2 linked regions of the Drosophila melanogaster genome follow. The protein of the gene in region 1 interacts with the protein of each later gene in a pairwise test. Each region holds a gene or a part of one and is shown on either strand. Other genes may lie near its edges.

Region 1 (11,978 bases):
GGTATCATGATTTGGTTACTATTTCAATTACTTTATAATCACTGTATGCCAATGCAGTGAAAAGGCACGAACACAAAAAAGAACAACAAAATAGATAAGTAAAATTTCACAGCATTATCAATAAGAATAATGGGTCTGCCAAGGGACTTTGAAAAAGATTAGAGGGATCTGCACTTATAGTTTTCAACACGTTACGTTTGCTGATCAAATTTGACAAAAAAAAAACAAAGATTGTTCTCTGACTTGCTGATTCCATGCAAATCAAATTCTGATGAATTCAAATTGATAGAAGTATATGTACACAAACGTCTTGAACTTTAAACAAAATAAGTTTACTCACTCACAGAACCAGACTATCAAATAACAATCCGCTTTAGGTAAAGTTTAAAGATAATAATAATCGTGTGCAGAAAGTTTTTCTTATGCAAAGCGTGACATTTGAGTTAAGTTACTTATTTAACATGGCTGTTATAGTAAATATTTGGACAATTAAATGGCCCTTTTCTCACTACATACAAATAGTTATGTCTGATCTAGCCAATAATAAGTATTTGCAATAAGAGTTTTACATCCTACAAATGTAATATCTATGATATTTAAACATAAAATATTGTTTTAGAAGCGAAATGGAGATAACTAGCATTAGGTAAATGACTACCTAGCATATCTAATCATAGTTGGATGTAGCCTAGCTATTTTAAGCGGATCATTGGTCGACATCTCTGCTCGCAAATCAAGCGAGACAAGCTAAGCATACACACACACACACATGGAGGCCACTTAACACCTTACAGGTGCACGAATGCGCAGGGGACACACATTTGTGGCGCTTTAGCACCAGAAAGACCCACTTACGCGTTGAGCTCGGGGAATATGGCGTACACATAGCACATGGTGACCAAGCTGGCCACAAAAATGCCCGCTACGATGACCAGGGACTTCTTGGTGGCCTTCTTCTCGTCTGCGGACATGGCCTGCTTTTGCGGAGTGGCCTGTTGTTGTTGCTGCTGCTGCTGTTGTTGCTGTGGATTAAGATCTTGTTGCTCCTGTGGCGGCACCTGTGGCAACAGTGGAGTAGCCACCTGATCCGGGGAGTGTTCCTGGAGCGCCTTTGCCCTGCCATTGCGCATTGTAATCCCCTCGTCAGCGGAAATGGCTAGAAAAAAAAAACAGAGACATGCAGATGTAATATGCATTCCAAAGCAGAAGTGGTGGTGGTGAACAGAATGCACGGACTAAGGGTTAATAGTCGTTTTTGGCTTCACGGGCTGCGCACTAGCTGCGGGTTAATCACCGTTCCTTCGCTCAGCTGATAAGTAAAAACAACTAAAACAGCACACTCACCCACACCACTGCAGTAAGACATTGTGGCTTTGACACGATGTACGTAAGCCCGAGTTGAAGAAGGAAAATTTAATAAGCCTTCTATATCCGATTTTAATTCACGATTGACTCATTTAGCGTCTAGGCTATTTATCAATTGTTAATGCTATTTGTGTGCCTATTTGCGCGCCAGTCACAATTTGTTGTTCTTCTCTCTATCCGCGTGCCTATGCGTATGTGTATGTGCGTGTGTCTACAACAATGAATTTAATCAATATAAAAAAAATAGGAAGTTGGCTAAAACTGCGTTAACTAGAGTAATTGTAGTTGACTACTGCGCTAATAGCAATTTTTTTAAATTTTTTCTATTGCTTTTCACTTTAGCCGACTTTTTCGGCGAACGATCACGCTTAAAAGTCAATTTAAAATAAATTAATTTCAGAAATTTCCGTCACGACCAGTGTGGCCGAAGGCGCAGTGTTGATTAAGTCCAAGCGTGTACACAGCTACCGCACAAAACTGAACGTGGGTTTCTAATAAAATCTGGTCATACTGTCATATTTAGCGCCACTTTTTAGTTTCTCTAAATTTTATTTATATTTTTTAATGTTATACGTAAATAAAAAAATGTGAGTGTCTGCATAAGCAAGTGAAGTACTTTTTTTGTATCTATAAATATCAACATAATAGTGCCCTTTTTCTTTTTGCCAAAAGACTCCATATTAATTACCACCTCCATGAAATACTGATAGAAATAGTGGAATTAAACAGTGCACTTTTTATTTTGTATGAAAATAGATTTAATAAAAATCTCATCAATATATTTAACATTCTATAATGAAACTACGACCTTCAGTGGGTAGCAAACGCATTCACGAAACTTAAGGGATTAGGTTAACTTGTTTTCATGTAAAAAAAAAAGTACGTTGGTATCTAGTCTAGAATCTGTTAGGAATCTGCTGTTGTCTTGTTTTTGAGCTGACGGTATAGCTGAACCATTTTGCTGCGCTCGGTTTCAAGCATTGACCTCGTAGCCAAGGGCAGATCTTTCCGCTTGCCCTTCATCTGGGCCTTGGTGGGTGCTTTGAAGGCGCTCTTAGATTGGGCAGCCAGCTTTAGTCGACTGCTGTCGTCGTCCTCCGGCCCACGATTTGACTGACCCTGGTCGGGATTCAGCATGGACTTTAGAAGGAGATTGGCTTTGCGTCCTGGACGCGGCACGGTTTCACTTTTTTCCGCTTTGCGCGGCAGGATTTTGAGGGAAGGTGGGGCATGGACGATCTCACCAAATGCCACAGCATCCTGTTTGAATTCTGTTGGCCCGGCATTCTGCTTCTCCTCGGTATCAACCTCTTGCTGGGCCTCCTTGTAGGCCCTCTTCACCAATTCGCGACTGGTCTTCGCATCCATGGGCTTGTGTACGACTTGAACCTTTTTGCGACCCCTTTTGCCCGCCAGCCGTTGCTCCTTTTGCTTCTGCTTGAGCAGCTCGTCGATCTCGTTTTTCGGCCTCTTTTGGACAGTAATCTCCCCGGTTTTGGGGTTTCTGATCACGTTCACACCATACTTGGCCTCGTAGTGGGCTTCCCGTACGGATGCATTGGTCATGCGATTCACTCGGCGCAGATAATCCTCGTCCGTTTCGTTGGCGAACTGCTTGATGTTACGCGTTTCCTTTGAGGAGGAACTACTGCCAGGCTTGGATCCTGGAGAGGATTTGGGCTTATCCTCCCGTCCAATTTCGCCCAATCTTAGCTTCTTGCCCGATTTGGTGGCGTTGGCAAGCTGCTGAAACTGACGGAACTTAAAGGACACCTGCTGCTCATCCTTTTTCACAGGCGGATTGTTCGTTACTTTGGAAAGTCTGAAATGTGAAATGGTGCAGATATTAGTTTAGCTGCCTTTTTCGACTGACTTGCCACTATGAACAAACTTCTTCTCCTTCTGTTCCAGCTGCTTGAGGGGATCACGGACGCCGTGGTGCTTGCGCACGGGAATCTTTCGTTTCCGAGCCATTTATTTTGGGTTTTGGTTCAATTTTTGTAAAACAAACTCGTGGTATCGACAGCATGGGTTAAAATACTAAGCGCGATGCATGCTGACAAATACCAAAACAAACCATAAATATACCAAATCGATTAAAGCTTGGACTCAAACCATTGGCGCCCAGAATTACAAATGAAATATTAAAGTTAAATATATATTAGATTAAATATATAAATGTATTTTACACTATGTATTGTATTAAGTAGTCTTCATATTCCCCTATTTTATAATATACATTTTTAATAAAGATTTATATGCTGTAATGAGAAAAGTATTTTATTGCAAGTGGTAAAATTTACTGTTTGCAGTAAAATTAAATATTTAAAGTCACGAATTTGTCTTAATTTATTGTTTTATTAGTTTATAAGCAACGACAAAATGAAGAATAAGTCTGAAACGGCACTTTCGAACTGAATACGTATGATTTAAATGTACATATGCATATTATGTACGCAAATTAATTTCATTATAAAGCTACAAATAATTTAGCTGAAGTGAAATTTTTTTTGATTGCAAATGGCAATGAATGAATAAGTATCTGGATATTAATTAATTGTCCGTTCTTATAAAGAACATACATTAATTTTTGACCAAAATACGTTAACAATTTAAAGTATGTACGCCGAGGCGGCAGTAGGTGTAACATCATTATCATCGCTGAAGTTCAGCAGGTAATCATCGTCAAAATTGTTGTGGGGCGAGCTGAATCGAAGTGATTGATCATCAAAGTTGTTGAATGTGGACGACGGATGCTTAAAGTAATCCGGCATTGGTTGGCTCATTGGGAACTCCTCCTCCTCCAATTTTAGTCGCTTGCAAGGCGGCGCCTCGTTTTCATCGCGATTGCTACCATAGTTCATAAACTGGGTTGCAGTAAAACGATTAAGAGTGCCCTTGGAGGTGCTGGGTATATCGTCGCTGGCCCAGGAAGATATGTTTTTGAAGGGAGAGAGAGTGTCGACTCTAATTATTTGTGGTTTATCGGAAATTTCATTGGATAGCTGCTCATCAGTCTTCGGGTTTTCGCCGATTTTTACTTGTTTGGCCGCATCAGCCGGCTCCTCCTCTCCTGAAGCCTCCCCTCCGGATTCCTTGTCATCCGATACGGATTCCTCGACTTCTGAGCCAGATTTCTCATCATATCTATCCTGTTCTAGATGCAAAACCTCTTCTGACTTTTCTACTTTTACCTCCTGCTCAAATCCTTCATCTTTCAGCGCCATTTCGAATTCTTCTTCTGATATTTCCTCAAAATCTTCGTCTGTGGCCTCCATTTCGTCACTGTCCTCTTCTAATTCCGCATTTGGGACACCTGCCTCTTCTGAAGGAGAAAGCCAATCGGTCTTCTCAAATTTCTCCTCTTCGATATGGCTTATCTCTGGATAGGGAGAAAAACGCACTTGCTTTGTTGGCGAGTTGGAAATGGCAACAGACTCGACCTCCTTGCATTTGATCAAAATGGATCGCAGAGGAGTCTCCAGCTTCTTAGTAGTGATCTCTCTATTCACGCTCGTCATGGATTTATTGTCATCTGGTCTGATATTCTTAAAGATGAAGTTGTTGAGGAAATCCGAAGCGGACTGAAATGGTGAAATGGTGCTAGCGGATGGAACACCAGCCAAACTTGGTTCAGCGCCCTTAGTGACACCCGTTTTAATCAAATTCCTTTTTTGCAACTGAAAAACGGAAAAGTTATTCACTTGGAATGGATATTTCGCAGCTACTCACCTCTTCCTTCAATTCGTTTATCAGCTTTCCCATCTGTAAAACGCTGACTATCTTCTTATTAAGCTTATCCGTCATACTTCTCAGCGTAATTGTCCACTCGCGATCCGACTGGTCCAGTTGGTCGTCCACTGAGGCTAGCTCCTTATCTGCCTCTTTTTTTAAGGCTTGCTCTTTTCGGAATTCCTGGACTGAAATAGAAGCTACTTGAGAATCATTTAAATAACACAAATGAACTTATACTATCACATAGGGTAAAAAATATTAAACAAAATGTTTTTTATTGTTTATGATTATATAGCATTCAAATGGATTCCGTATTCAATAATACCTCATACAAAATCTTACCGATGCTGCGCGATTCGAGGATTGTGTTCTGCTGATTCTCTTGCTCGGCCAAATCCTCCTGCAGCTTAATTTTGCGCTGGAACTCCTGCTCCTTGCGATGCACCGTGTAGTAGAGGATGTCCTGCAGCCCGGCCATTTCGAGCAGCTCCTCAATTCGCGTGATCTGGAACATACAGTCCTGTATCATGGTGTTGGCCTGTGCCATACCGGCACCGTTATCCTCCACTACCAAGGCGCACTGCTTGACCAAGGTCAGGTCGAATAGCACCTGCTCCAAACGCGGCCCTACAACTGAACAAGCAGAAACATGTATGTATAAATCTTACTTGGAGATTCGCGCATTATGCCCACTCACTCTGCTCCTCGACGATCAATTCTTTCCTTTTCTTGAGTTCCTTCTCGAGCTGCGCCATTTTGGTATCTTTTGGCCAATTTTGCCCCATAAATTCTTTGACAAGTGGATATTTTTCCATATTTTGTCCGTTCAATGTTTCCCCCCGATAAGCTTACAAGTTTGCGCGTTCAGTAATTTATCGGATATCGAATGCTAAGGCACAGCGATCATTGTTGAAAAGTGTCATAGATACTGAAGTCACAGCGATATATATCGCTTACTGTTTTAGAAAACTTATTTTAAAAAGGAATAAAAAAATGTAACGTACCGCTGAATATTAATTTAATTACAAGTTTTATTTGTTTAAGCTTTTTTTTATTAATGTTGTACAAGATTTGTAGAGATTTGCTCATCTCTGACGACAAGTGCCAGTGTTGGCAAACGCTCCGCCGAAAATCAGCTGTAAGCGGTGCTTGTTAAAAAAAAACTGACAGCAGCCGACGGACTTCACATAACATAAGAGCAAATTTTCAGCCTTTTCATTATTTTGGAAACGCCAGAATGCTGACAAACTGTGCCTCCAAAACACTGGCCGCCGTGGTGAGTAGCGCAGCCATCCAAACTGTCCAGTAATTCGCGGTGTCAACCAGGGAAGGCAACCTGTTCCCCGAGTTATATAATTGGCGACAGGAAAACAATAACATTAAGGATATGTGTTGTTATTTGCAGCGCGCCAACATCCGGGCAATTGCCACCAGCAGTGCCCGGGCCAGCGACAATCTGTTCGTCCATCGCGACACACCGGAGGATAATCCCAACATCCCGTTCGAGTTCACGGCGGAGAACAAGAAGCGCGTGGAGGCCATACTCAGCATCTATCCGGAGGGGCACAAGCGCGGCGCCATGATCCCGCTGCTTGATCTGGCACAGCGCCAGTACGGCTGGCTGCCAATCTCTGCCATGCACAAGGTGGCCGAGATTCTCCAGTTGCCCAATATGCGCGTCTACGAGGTGGCCACTTTCTATACGATGTTCATGCGCAAGCCCACTGGCAAGTATCACATCCAGGTGTGCACCACCACACCATGCTGGCTCCGCGGATCGGACGACATCCTGGAGACCTGCAAGAAGCAGCTGGGCATCGGCGTCGGCGACACCACCAAGGACAGGAAGTTCACCATCTCGGAGGTCGAGTGCTTGGGCGCCTGTGTCAATGCGCCAATGGTGGCGATCAACGATGACTACTATGTAAGCAATTCTAATTGCTAAATGTGTTTCCTGGTCATTTGTTTGTAGGAAACGCCAGTTTCACTCTCAGCCTCGTCCAGCGTTTCAATCTTAATGCGCTGAAATCGACTCTATATTGTGCAAACATTGCTAACGTTTTTTTTTTACTTTGCAGGAGGATCTGACATCCAAGGACATGCAGGACATCCTGAACGACCTGAAGGCGGATAAGATATCGCCCCCTGGGCCACGCAACGGACGCTTTGCCAGCGAGCCAAAGGGCGAGCCCACTTCCCTGAGCGAGGAGCCCAAGGGTCCTGGCTTTGGTCTGCAGGCCGGTCTGTAGAGGATGAGCAAGGAGCAGAACCTATCACTGATTGTCGAACGAAAGTTAAATAAATGTTAAGCAACTTATAGAGGTCATTGATAAAGGATTTTTGGATTTTTTTTTAAAAATATGCTCACTTTCCATTGGAAAGTTTCCATTTTGAAAGGTTACACATAAAATAATAACTCCCAACGAACTCGAGAATACTAGTACATTCAATTAGATGTGGAAGATCGCCAGAACCCCAATGCAAGCCAAATGTGCGTTTTTCATATCTTGACCAATAAATGATTTTATTTTGTAGTGGAAACGGCAGGTTCCCATTGCTAATTATAATGGATGTTTACTATTGCATACGTACGCATGTTCCATTACTAATTATAATGTTCGCTCATTATAATTGTATGTACAATGGCGTACGTACGTAAGAACGAATATTATGAATTAAGATGATTGGAAGAGTAGTTGAGAGGCTATTTTCAGCTGTGGCAATTGACCAATACAAACATCAATTACTCAAAGGATAAAACTAAAGCTACAGAAATGATGCCTTACATTCTACGCTGGTTGAGTGCAATTAACCAGATATAATACTACATGTATGTACGCACTGTGATGCAGTCGATTGCCTGTCCTTTTTACTTATGTACTAAAATCCGAATTTAATATTTAGTTATTTGTGTTGCCCGTAAAGTTGTCCGCCAATAGTCAGGATTGTGGACATGATGTGGATTGGCTCCGCCCGCGAGCTTTTTTAAAACCAATAACGATAAGGGAAATTTTCCGTTAAAATCTAACTGGAGCCGCCATGGGTCACCTTTCCGCGTACTTCGGTCCGCATGTGTTGTAATATTATATGTAAAAAAAAAAAAGTGTACTAAATTCCTACATGGATTTCCTTCCTTGTTGCCCTTCCTCACTCCTCGCCGTAGAAAATGCTGAAAGTATAAAGGTTTATTGACATATGAGTAACATGGTTGAGTGTGGATATCAAAACTATAAACAAAATAATGAAGAAATCAGACACAATGCGTGAAATTAAGCAACGAAACGGGCAAATATAAACTGAAAGTATCAACTGAGGAATAACTGAATTTAATACTTCACAGCTGTGTCGTTATTCTAACCTTATTGTGTATATAGAGATATTAAACGCACCGGTTTTTGGCGGAAGAGCGCTTCGAGGAGCGTTCAATACGATTGTGCAGATTTGTCCTGGGATAGCATTCATCGACGAGGCGCTCGGTCTTCTTGGGCGATTCGCGCAGCTCCTTAACGTCCACGTTCTCCTGGGTTGCTTGTTTCCGCATAAACTTTTCGATAAGCGCATCGCACGCCAGATTCTTACTCGGCTCCCAGGAATCATCCTTCGGTCCATACTTCTTCCATCGGATCTTAAACATGTCGCCCTCCTTGGTGGCAACGTGATCAAGAATTTTTTCGACTTCCCATTGCTTTTCTGGGTCGATTGAATCGTCGGCTTTCTTGGTGCCGGCGTTCCGTCGACCACGTCCCTTAGCCTTCTTAGCGTTTGGCGAGGACTTCGATTTAGCTGCAACCTTCTGCAAAGCAGCAAAGATAAAAAAGTTGGACTTCATTGATCAAAATACTGTCCTATAAATAAAATGAATCTTAAAGTATGAGGCATTTTTGGCCAAGATAACCGCCATATAACGAAATTACTCTCAACTGACTACACTTTCTCATCAGCGTTTCAGTGTAATGTTTTAAAAGCATACATTTTTATATGTACGCCAGTTAGCGCTAATGATTTCGAATAATAGTACAGTCATCATAATCTAACCTTTTCGAAAGGTTTTGAGTCTCAATGTTTTGTAATTGCTGACTAGAATTTCGTAGAATTTACTGAGGGTTCAATATCTAATTGGGTCTAGTATTTTTTGATTTCTCGAATTGATGTCTCACCTGGGGTTGAGCTGATTTCTCATCCTCTGTTCCAGCATCGACATCGGATTCCGAATCCTTTTCAGCAACCTTCTTGCCATTTTTGACGGAAGAAGTCGAAGCCCTGCTCAGCTTGCGCTTCTTGATCGGACTTGATGCATGTGCAGAGGCTTTGGAGGTGGAGGGCAGTTCATTGCTATCTTCCGTTTCACCGCGCACGGATCGCCGTGTCTGGCGTTTGATATTTGGCTTCCTTGGCGAACTGTCGGCACTAGGGTCTACATCGGAATGATTAGCATCATCATCCGAATCCTCTATAACGATTTTTTTGCCATTTTTGCGGGGCGAAGTGGTGGCGTTCCTGGCCTTGCCCACCTTGCGCTTGTTCCTTGCAGCTGGTACATCCACGTTGGAGGTAGAGGTCTGGCAATCGCTGTCTTCGCTGTCAGAGGCCACAGTCAGTTTGGCCTTTCGTTTGTTCGGCGTCTTCCTGGACGATCGACCTGTCCCATTGGACTTTTGCTGGTCAATCTCCTCGTTTTCGCTCTCGTTGGCGACTCCGTTCCTGCGCTTACTTTCTGCCACCTTCTTACTCGCCTTGGCCATAATGCACTTGTTTATCCGGTTGTGTGACAACGTCCAATTTGCTCTACGGTGGCGATTTCAATTGCCGCGTACCAGCAAAACAAATTCTTTATAGAGTTTTTTGACGACTGTACACTTGGCAGTGTTACCAGACTGCAAGAAACAAAAAATCACGAAGTCGGGATATGCAGTTTTATAAATATATATATATTTATATTTCCTGGGAATATTTATTTAATGTTTATCAATCGAGATCCCGAGATCGAATCGAAGTAAGAAAGTAAGAAAATTAATTCTTTCCAAATTTCTAGAAACGGTAATACAAATTAGTGGTCGATACATTCGACTTGAAATGCGAATTAATCGATTGAATAATCGTTTCTTCTCTCATCCCTAATTCCAACCGCGTGCGAATTTCAATACGTTTCGAAACGACCGCATTTTGGTCAATAAACAGAGGGTATGCAGCGCCAGAAACCCAAGGGACCCGGCAAACCGGGTTCGCGTTTCAAGCCGGGATCCGGCACGTTCAAAGGAGCTGGTGGTGGCCGGAAAAGCGGCGACAACAGCCAGAAGCGTCCGCGCCAGGAGATCAACAAGTCGCGACTGGCCGCCACCGAAGCGGAGATCCAGGACCTCAAGACCAAATACGCAGAGATCGATGCTACTGCCATTAAGAAGTTCGCCCAGTTTCCGCTGTCCAAGAAGACCCAAAAGGCACTGGCGGAGTCCAAATTCGTGCATCCCACGCAGGTGCAGCGGGACAGCATTGGACCCGCACTGCAGGGCAAGGATGTGCTGGGCGCGGCCATCACAGGCAGTGGCAAGACACTGGCCTTTCTCATACCCGTAAGTTGGTCCTCGTCCCTTCTTCGAAAGAAATTGCCGGCTGTAAGTTATATATGCAATGGTCCATTTATTGCAGGTTCTGGAGCATCTGTTCATGAACAAATGGTCGCGCACCGATGGCGTTGGCGCTATCATCATCTCGCCCACCCGCGAGCTAGCCTACCAGATCTTCGAGACCCTAAAGAAGGTGGGAAAGCACCACGACTTCTCCGCCGGCCTCATCATCGGAGGCAAGAACCTGAAGTTCGAGCGCACTCGCATGGACCAGTGCAACATACTGATCTGCACACCCGGAAGGCTGCTGCAGCACATGGACGAGAATCCTCTCTTTAATACGAGCACCATGGAGATGTTGGTCCTGGATGAAGCCGATCGCTGTTTGGATATGGGTTTCCAGAAGACCCTGAATTCAATCATAGAAAATTTCCCACCAGTGCGTCAAACGCTGCTATTCTCGGCCACGCAAACGAATACGGTGCAGGATTTGGCGAGGCTTAATCTAAAGGATCCGGTCTACGTAGGCTACGGAGGAGCGACGCCAAGAGAAGAGCCCAGCGCCAGCACGAAGAAGACTCCGAACACAGCTGTCTTGGCAGTTCCTGAGCTTTTGCAGCAGAGTTATGTGGTGTTGAACCTGGAGGACAAGATCACCATGCTGTGGTCGTTCATCAAGAACCATTTGAAGCAGAAGATCATTGTGTTCGTGGCCAGTTGCAAGCAGGCCAAGTACCTGTACGAGATATTTTGTAAACTGCGGCCGGGTAGCCCGCTGCTGGCTCTCTATGGAACGCTCCATCAGGATCGTCGCATTGCCATCTACGAGGATTTCCTTCGCAAGAGCCACGTCGTTATGTTCTCCACTGATGTGGCATCGCGCGGTCTGGACTTTCCTGCCGTCAATTGGGTGGTGCAGTTGGACTGCCCGGAGGATGTTTCACAGTACATTCATCGAGCTGGACGATCTGCGCGGAACAAGACACGCGGCGAGTGTCTGTTGGTTTTGACACCCAGCGAGGAGGAGTACATGATTAGTGCGCTTAAGGAACAGTTGAATATCGACATTCGTTGTGTGCAAATCGATCCCAAGAAGCTCTTCTCTCCGCGCGTCAAGATCGAGGCCTTTCTGGCCCAATTTCCCGAACTGAGGGCAACCGCCCAGCGCGCCTTCCTCTCCTACATAAAATCCGTGTTCCTGATGCGCAACAAGCGCTTGTTTAATGTGTTCAGCCTGGATCTAGATGCATTTGCCCAATCGCTCGGCTTGGCGGTTACGCCGCGTGTTCCCTTCCTCGAAAAATTCCTGTGGCG
Region 2 (7,365 bases), on another chromosome or scaffold:
CCGAATACTGTTTTAGTAAACTATCCCACCATCATTTGTATGTATATGACAGCTCATCTACAAGATCTGAAAAGAATTCGCAGCGGAAGTGGGAGCAACAGCCATATAAAGTGCGAAATATTCGAGTCGTGTCGCGATTCTGGGGAGCATGGGACTTGGTTTTTTGGATTGGGTGAGGTGCGTTCGTTACCTCGGTGAAACATCGTCCCGCCGTGATGCGCAGATAGAACCGAATGCTCATCAGGGTGGCCACTATGGCGGCCACTGAAGTCATGAGGAAGATGTCGCGCACATAGTGCTCGGTCGACAGCCAACCGAAGATGAAACCCATCCTACAAATATGCCGAGGTGTGTATACTATATATTGTATCTTCATATACGTATATATCGGTGTCAACATGCAAATCAGATTATATAATAACCGAAGCTGCCAAAGCCAGACGATTGTCTTAGGGCATAACGAAACGAGTTTGGTTTTGGGTTTTGGGGTTTCATGGTTTTGGGGATATTGGTTAGTCGGCGAAGGTTTTCACAATTCAAATCGTTTATCAGTGACTGTCAATAAATCAATTTCGAAAACTGTTGAGAAAACTTACACTTTCACTTTCACACATGTGCGTAATTATGGCTTATTATGATGAAACGCCGAAAAAAATAACATTCAACCAAGTTCATTGACAGCCCAAACGAAAGAAGGTTGAACAAGAAAGAAAGTCTGAAGTTTCATGTCGTTTTGAGTTTCTGGTTTTTTCTTCTCTGTTTGTTTTTTTTTTCCCCCACCGTCCACGTCACAAAGATTTCCAAGAGCTTTCCTCAAGACTCGAAGACTGGCTCTGGTTACGCTTGCATGCACCATTTAAGAACCCCCCCAACCGAACCACGCCCTACAATGCAGTCTCGAAAAGAAACAAGATCTATAGATGTATGAAAAAGTCTAGAAGTGACCCGTTTTTGGGTTTTGTTCCTCAACTTTTGCCAGTCGGAGACGAGTTTTTTAGTGCAAACTCACCTGTTTTGGCTGTTGGCTGATCTATAATTTATTCCAACTTCTGCTGACCTGCACTTTGGACTATATCTGCGCTGCGAAATGGAATTGGTGGATCCAAGAGCTAGTGCCACAACCTTCGCCTTGAACGACTAATCGGAGACTGAAGTCGGAATTCCGATTATAAAGCCGAGGCTGCGGAGAATGCGCGATCGTCTCCACCGGTTTGGTATTGCCGTGGTCGCGGTGATTTTGTTATTGCACTTATAGCCATGGTAACAGGTTAGCCAAGCGGCTTTCCGGGCTCCTCTTTGGGATCGTCTTCATGAACGGTTCACTCGCAGCGAAAGAGCGAGCACAGAGTGGAGCCAAACTATAATACATAGTTACCAGCGGTAAGAGAAAGATCTGGGTAGTGGATTCCAAGAAAGTGTGTCTAGAAAGCCACCTGTCGGGGGCTTCGCAAAGCTTCTTTTCTAGTTATGCAGCTCGAATGATGAGCTTGAAATAATGTAGAAAATAATAATGGATAGTAATTAACTTTTTTAATGACCAAGACTTTATTACTATTTGAAGTACTACGGGTAATTGTATAAACATGTCAGATAAAAATCTATTTTATTTTTCATTTCATATATCATTAACCGAGATACCACTGAAATATATCAACATTCTTTTCAATTCAATGCATTTTATTATAGAGATGACATATTCACAAGTACAATAAAGAATGCTCAACAATCTACCACAAGCTTAGTCTAAGCCCGTCTAGTTCGTTGCCTTAGTCCTGTATATAGCTTTATTTGAAAAATATAATTCCCTTAGAATTATCGCTCAAATATAATTCCTTTGAATGCAGTAATGTTTGAAAATAAATATATATTTACATTCGGTTATAATGCTGGCAGTTTAAACAAGGTCATATGGTAATATAAGTCATTCTACTTCTCAATGCTGTTTTGTCGGCGGGGTGGTTGGGTTTCCGCATCCGTTTCCAAGTGCTTGGTTAAGGTGTTGTACCATTCGTTCATATGGTTGGATATGATGTTGATGAAGCGAGATACCTTTGATTTCATAGTGCTCACGAGGCTTTCGGAGAGTTTAGTCAGACTACGACCAGAGGCCAGCGAATTCTTGCTGCTGATCCTCATGATCTTGGATTCCTTTTCCTCCCTGGGCTGGCTGGCATCCTTCTCTGCCTCGTGATCCATCTTGTACTCGTAGTAGGTGTACCTTCCCAGCGGCATCATCTCATCGCGATCTGCCTTGTCTATGGCATTGGAGGGCAGTTCAGCCAGGGAATTAGTGTTAAGTACGGCACGCCGCCTTCTCATAGCTGGTAAATCCCACCAGGAAGTGATACCCTCATCGGCTGGCTTTTGAGGCAATTTCGAATGAAGAGTAGGCGTTGCCTTCTTTCCCTCAAAATGATCCTGTATGAGGGACTTCCTACCGACATTCGCCGACTCCAGGGAACTTTCCCGCATGCCCTCATCTCCTAGAGAAAACTCGTGTTCATGCTCGTTGATGTGGCTGAGGAAATGCTTTCCAAGCTCTTTTTGGGCCTGCAAAAAGTCGTTGGCCACGTGACCTAGCCTGGAGTGACGCCTTCTAGCACTTGGCACCGGTTGCACATCCTCCTCGGGCTCGGACTCTTCAACAGACTTGGGTTTTTGGGACAGACTAGCCTTGGCCATGGTGGCCTTGCTGGAGAAGGGTTCCGGAAATAGCAGTGAGTTCAAGGTGGCTCCCAGATTTAATCGCTTGTTCTGCTTGGGAGCTGGTAGGGCCTCAAAGAATTCCGTGGGCAGTAGACGCAACTTGGGACGCCCTTCTGTTTGCTCCGGTTCCTGCTCCTGTTCATCCTCTTTGTCCTCCCTTTGAATGATCTTTAGCTGACTCTTGGACTTGGTCCTGCGCTTTTTGGGTACCTCCCGCTCAAGTTCCTCTTCGTTTTCCACCTCCCCATCCACAGTCTCAATGTGCTTCAGGTGGACATCACCCTCTGGAAGCCGTGTGTAAGTGGGTATTTCCTCGGATTTCTCTCCAATGCGCTTGAAGAACTTCTCCTCATCGAATTCATCGAAGTCGAAAAGGGGCTTATTCTTCTTTTCCGGCTTCCGGATCTCAGTAATCTTCTTCGTCAATGCTGTCTTCTTACCCTGGCGATTGTAGAAGAAGGGCCCGGAATAGCTGGATGTGTCGCGTCTCTCCCGCTTTTTGCCCATGTCACGGGTGTGCTCGAGCACTTGATACAGCCAGGCCAGAGCTTTATGAGGCTTAATAGCCTGTTCTTTGGACTTGTTCACTTCATCACCCACATCCCTCTTCAGCGGACCGTCATCCTTGAAATGGTCCAGTAGTCGATCTAGTAGGGTCTGTGACGTTTCCTCCTTATCAACGACAAATCTCCGATTGCGATTAATAGAACTCTGAACCGAGCCTCGGGCAACTGCAGTTTCCTCGATCAATCGTTGGAGTAACCGATCGGCGGAACTATAGCGGAATGATCGGCGCTTCTCCTTGGAGGACTCCCCACTCGAATCGCCTGCCTCGATCTCCGTGAACTGGCAGTGTTCCAGATTGACATCGGGCAGCACCCAGAAACTCACCGCCATGCTGGGCGTGATCAGTTGCAGTGGCTTTGTTGGATCAATGGGTTTGATCAGGGGACGCAAAGTGGTGTTCAAGTGCAAGCGGACATTATTCAGCTGGACCCTTTGATCATGGCCAGTCAGTACATACTGCCAAATCTCGCTACTGCTCAAACTACTGGTACTCTTCACAGTAATCGTTGTTGGCTGCTCCTCCGTATTTACCACCATGAATGCCAATCCTCCGGATACGGCATTTGCACAATGGGTATACAACTTGTTGCTCGGAGCAAAGGCGTTCAGAGGTCGGGCTGGGAACACCCTTGATCCCATGACCTTCTTGAACAAAGCAGTTACATACAGACTGAAGTTTGGTCGCTCGAAGTCCACCAAGTTCATTCGCTTAAATATAACATCGAATCCACTAGCGGCGGCATCTCCCATAGTTTGGGCCCACCGCAAGGCATCCGTGGTCTCGTCGCCCACCAATCTCTGCGAGGATCGCTCCTCCGGCAAGGTCAGCCACAAGGGAACGCGCTGTTGCTGAAGGGTTCGCAGGGCAGGATCGCTGTCGTACAAGTAGCTTCCCAGGCTTGATTTGGGCAGCATGTTTGCGGGTCTACAGTTGGAACAAAATAATTATTAAAAGGTAAGATGCTACTTCTATAATGTTCATAAATACATTCACTTCCAATCTCACTACTTACTGCGTCCATCCAAATGCCGTATTCAGATCCTTGGACATATCTACGTATCTCTTGGTCTCATCAGCACTGCTTCCAGCTGAAATGTCCGCTCCCATTAGTCGCCAGTCGTCCACATACGGTTTGAAAGTATCCGTCATCAGTTTGAGAGTTCGAAGTTCCTGGACGTAGTCCTTGGCTCTGGAGGTGCCAAAGTCTGTGCCCAGCTGCCAGATGCAGTCGGTGATGCCAACCATATAGGAGGTGTTCAGGATCTTCAGCGTATGCATGGAGTCCCAATCATCGGGCGCATAAGGCACCGGGATGATCATGGTCCAGTTTACGGCCCTTCGAAAAATAAGGTCAGATAGATGATCAGAAAATGGGAGGAAAGCCATCACCACCAACTTACCGCGACCACCGATTGAACCCCTTCCAAATGATTTTGGTGGGGTTTCGCAGCCTAGTTGGCGCATTGCTGGCGAAGTAAAAATCTCCCACGAACTTGATGTGCGCATCTCCCAGCAGATTCGCCAAATTGGTCACCGCCTTGCGGTTCTTGCCATCCAGGGCATCGTACAGATCCTCCGGACGAACGGCAAAACTGACAAACTTTTCGTTCACATCGTTGTAAGGACGATTCACATGGAGCTGAACCAGTGTATCCGCAAAGCACACTACCGCCAGTCCCAAAAGAGCCAAACACAAATGCCACATGTTTTAATCCAGAATTACGAATGGAAAGACCGGAGACCTGTCTGTTGCTCGATGGCTCCACAACTGACCGGAGTTTCATAATGACTACCTCTAAATAAACTCCCCACTCGATCATTTCCATCTGATTTCGCTGCCATCCGCAAGAATTTTGCGCTGATCGCTGCCCTCAATATGATGACCTTCTTCCAATGCACCACTAACGTAACCCAAACCCACATACAAGTGGGCCGTGGTTGGAATGCCGTGCTTATCAATGAACTATGAGATGACCCAATAAGGTTGGGGTAAATCTGCGGAGGCCAGTTCTTCGGCATCCTCGCTGGCGGTCACGGTTTGTTAGAAGAAAAGAGAAGAGAAACCGTCTCATTTTTTTAAATTAAGAAGGTTTCTCACACAAAGTTTAATGTTACGAACCATTTTGCAAAACAAATCACGTCAAAGCTTTCAGTTATACTCACAAAGTAAAAGGAGGGTATATTAGATTCGCTGAAAAGTGTGAAACATGTAGAAGAATATATTTTTATTATATATATTTATATTTTTGATCAGAGTCACAAGTCCAGAGTCAGAGTCGATCGTCCACAGTTTCTGTGATATACATAAATATATGAACATGAATGTGAATATAATGTATGCCAATTTCAGATATGGAAACTATTAAAGTTATGAAGTATTTGTGTTCTTTGACTAGAACGTAAATATTTCCAATTGGTGTAAATTTAAATAGCGCGCTCATCAACAGATCTATCACCAATAAGTGTGTAGAAAGTTGCTATCGTCATCGACCTATCTGCTGTTTTCCAACACTAAGTTGACCGCCATTTTGTACGTCAAAACAGAAATTTCGCCAAAACTTGAATAGAACGTTGCGACAATTATTATTACAGTTAAACAAATTGTTATCCAAAACTACATGAGCAATGGGTAGTAACCAAGATTGGAACAAGGAAGACTCCAAAACTGAGGTCCCACCTGAGGAAGATGACCAAGTGACAGCATACATTGAGAAATCAGTGGCCCAATTGGTAAGTTAAGAAAGGAAACATTTTTAGTTAAAATTTATATACATTTTGATATTATTGTAGGGCTCCGAAAATGATCACCGTACCGCGCTGGTCGATGAAAAGAAGAAGGAGTTGGATGTCCTGATTGCCGAGAAGTACACCACTTTGAACGACTTAACCCATGTCACCAATTCCCAGAATCTTGTGGACGACATCCACTTTCTGCATACGAAGAACGCCAAGATCCTGGAGAGCCTCAATCAGGCGGTCACCGCCAAGAGAAACGTCTCCCAGGCCTACGATGACCATTGCAAGAAGGCGCTCAAGGTCAAGGCCGAGATGCAGGAGCAGACGAAATGCTTCGATGAGTTCACCGTGATGGTATGTAATCTCCTCAAGAAACCAGTAATCTTGCAGGTTTGTAAAATTCTATCCAAATATTTTCTATTTCAGAACTACCACGATCTAAAGAAGACCATACTTAACACCAAGAAAGAAACGCAAGAAATTCGCGCTAAGACGGCTTTAAAGACCGAGGAGCTCAAAAAGAAGCGAGAATTTGTTAACACCACCCAAAAGTCAATGGCTAATGATATCCGTGTTCTAGGCCAGATCGAACATGACCTCATGTGAGTAACTATTAGGAGTTATAAAAAAACCGTACAAGAACATGTATCCCAAATGTTTGTTTTTTCCACAGTGGGATAATCGAAGACTTAAAATCCAAAATTTCTGCAATTTAAGTACAGGAAAACAAATAACACTTGAACAATCGCCAAAGGTGCATTGGAAAATACGGTCGTACCTCATCTTCCAAAAAATAATCCTTAATATTGCTGCGTTTTCCAAATAATTTGACAAATAAAGTACTTTTTATTCTGTAATGCTTTTTTAATTAAACCTTCTTCAAGGAGCGAATCACGATGGCTATCCTGATGGTTCTAATCATCTTCGACGACGATCAAAATATCCTTAAAGCTGAATGGCGTGAACGGATATCCGTTTCCCACATAGAACTTGCTCATGAACTCCACCCAGTGCAAGCGCAATGTGTGCAGGAAGGCGGAAAGACCCTCCATCATGACCATGATAGCGATGGTGAAAAACTCCCAAACGGCAAAGATGAAAAACAGCCCAATGGCGCCCACGTAGCCGTTCATCTGAAGTCCCATCGCCAGCACCATAGTCCACAGCACCTCCGATAGCTCTGAAATAAGATCTGCATGAAGTACAAATTCAATTACTGACTTAGCAGATTCTTACGGGCATGAGCTAAGGACAAGGCCCAGAGACGAAGATATGAGGCCGTGTGTGAGATGGTACTAAGGATATACTCGATTGTGTGGATGGCCTGGTGGATCCAGATTTCGCTCATCGGCTCG

The links. Proteins that work in one complex are often made in the same cells at the same time.
Region 2: the proteins of corolla (region 1) and cona interact in a two-hybrid assay, tested with the Drosophila melanogaster proteins (one study listed by BioGRID).

The regions. Positions count from the first base shown.
Region 1 is NC_004354.4:17,626,085-17,638,062, forward strand, and holds corolla (corolla), read right to left. Parts: upstream 5,964-11,978; 5' UTR 5,916-5,963; coding exon 5,798-5,915; intron 5,734-5,797; coding exon 5,443-5,733; intron 5,286-5,442; coding exon 5,098-5,285; intron 5,046-5,097; coding exon 3,978-5,045; 3' UTR 3,707-3,977; downstream 1-3,706. Other genes in the region: stas (stasimon), read right to left, coding at 856-1,156, 1,345-1,366; CG8326 (uncharacterized protein), read right to left, coding at 2,272-3,187, 3,257-3,339; ND-24 (NADH dehydrogenase (ubiquinone) 24 kDa subunit), read left to right, coding at 6,338-6,376, 6,506-7,024, 7,179-7,349; CG8289 (uncharacterized protein), read right to left, coding at 8,248-8,269, 8,490-8,893, 9,258-9,842; CG5800 (uncharacterized protein), read left to right, coding at 10,284-10,670, 10,747-11,978.
Region 2 is NT_033777.3:18,380,023-18,387,387, forward strand, and holds cona (corona), read left to right. Parts: upstream 1-5,805; 5' UTR 5,806-5,899; coding exon 5,900-6,004; intron 6,005-6,064; coding exon 6,065-6,364; intron 6,365-6,436; coding exon 6,437-6,612; intron 6,613-6,683; coding exon 6,684-6,726; 3' UTR 6,727-6,865; downstream 6,866-7,365. Other genes in the region: CG7675 (uncharacterized protein), read right to left, coding at 191-331; CG14309 (uncharacterized protein), read right to left, coding at 1,927-4,198, 4,287-4,610, 4,675-4,979; Vha100-4 (vacuolar H[+] ATPase 100kD subunit 4), read right to left, coding at 6,925-7,190, 7,247-7,365.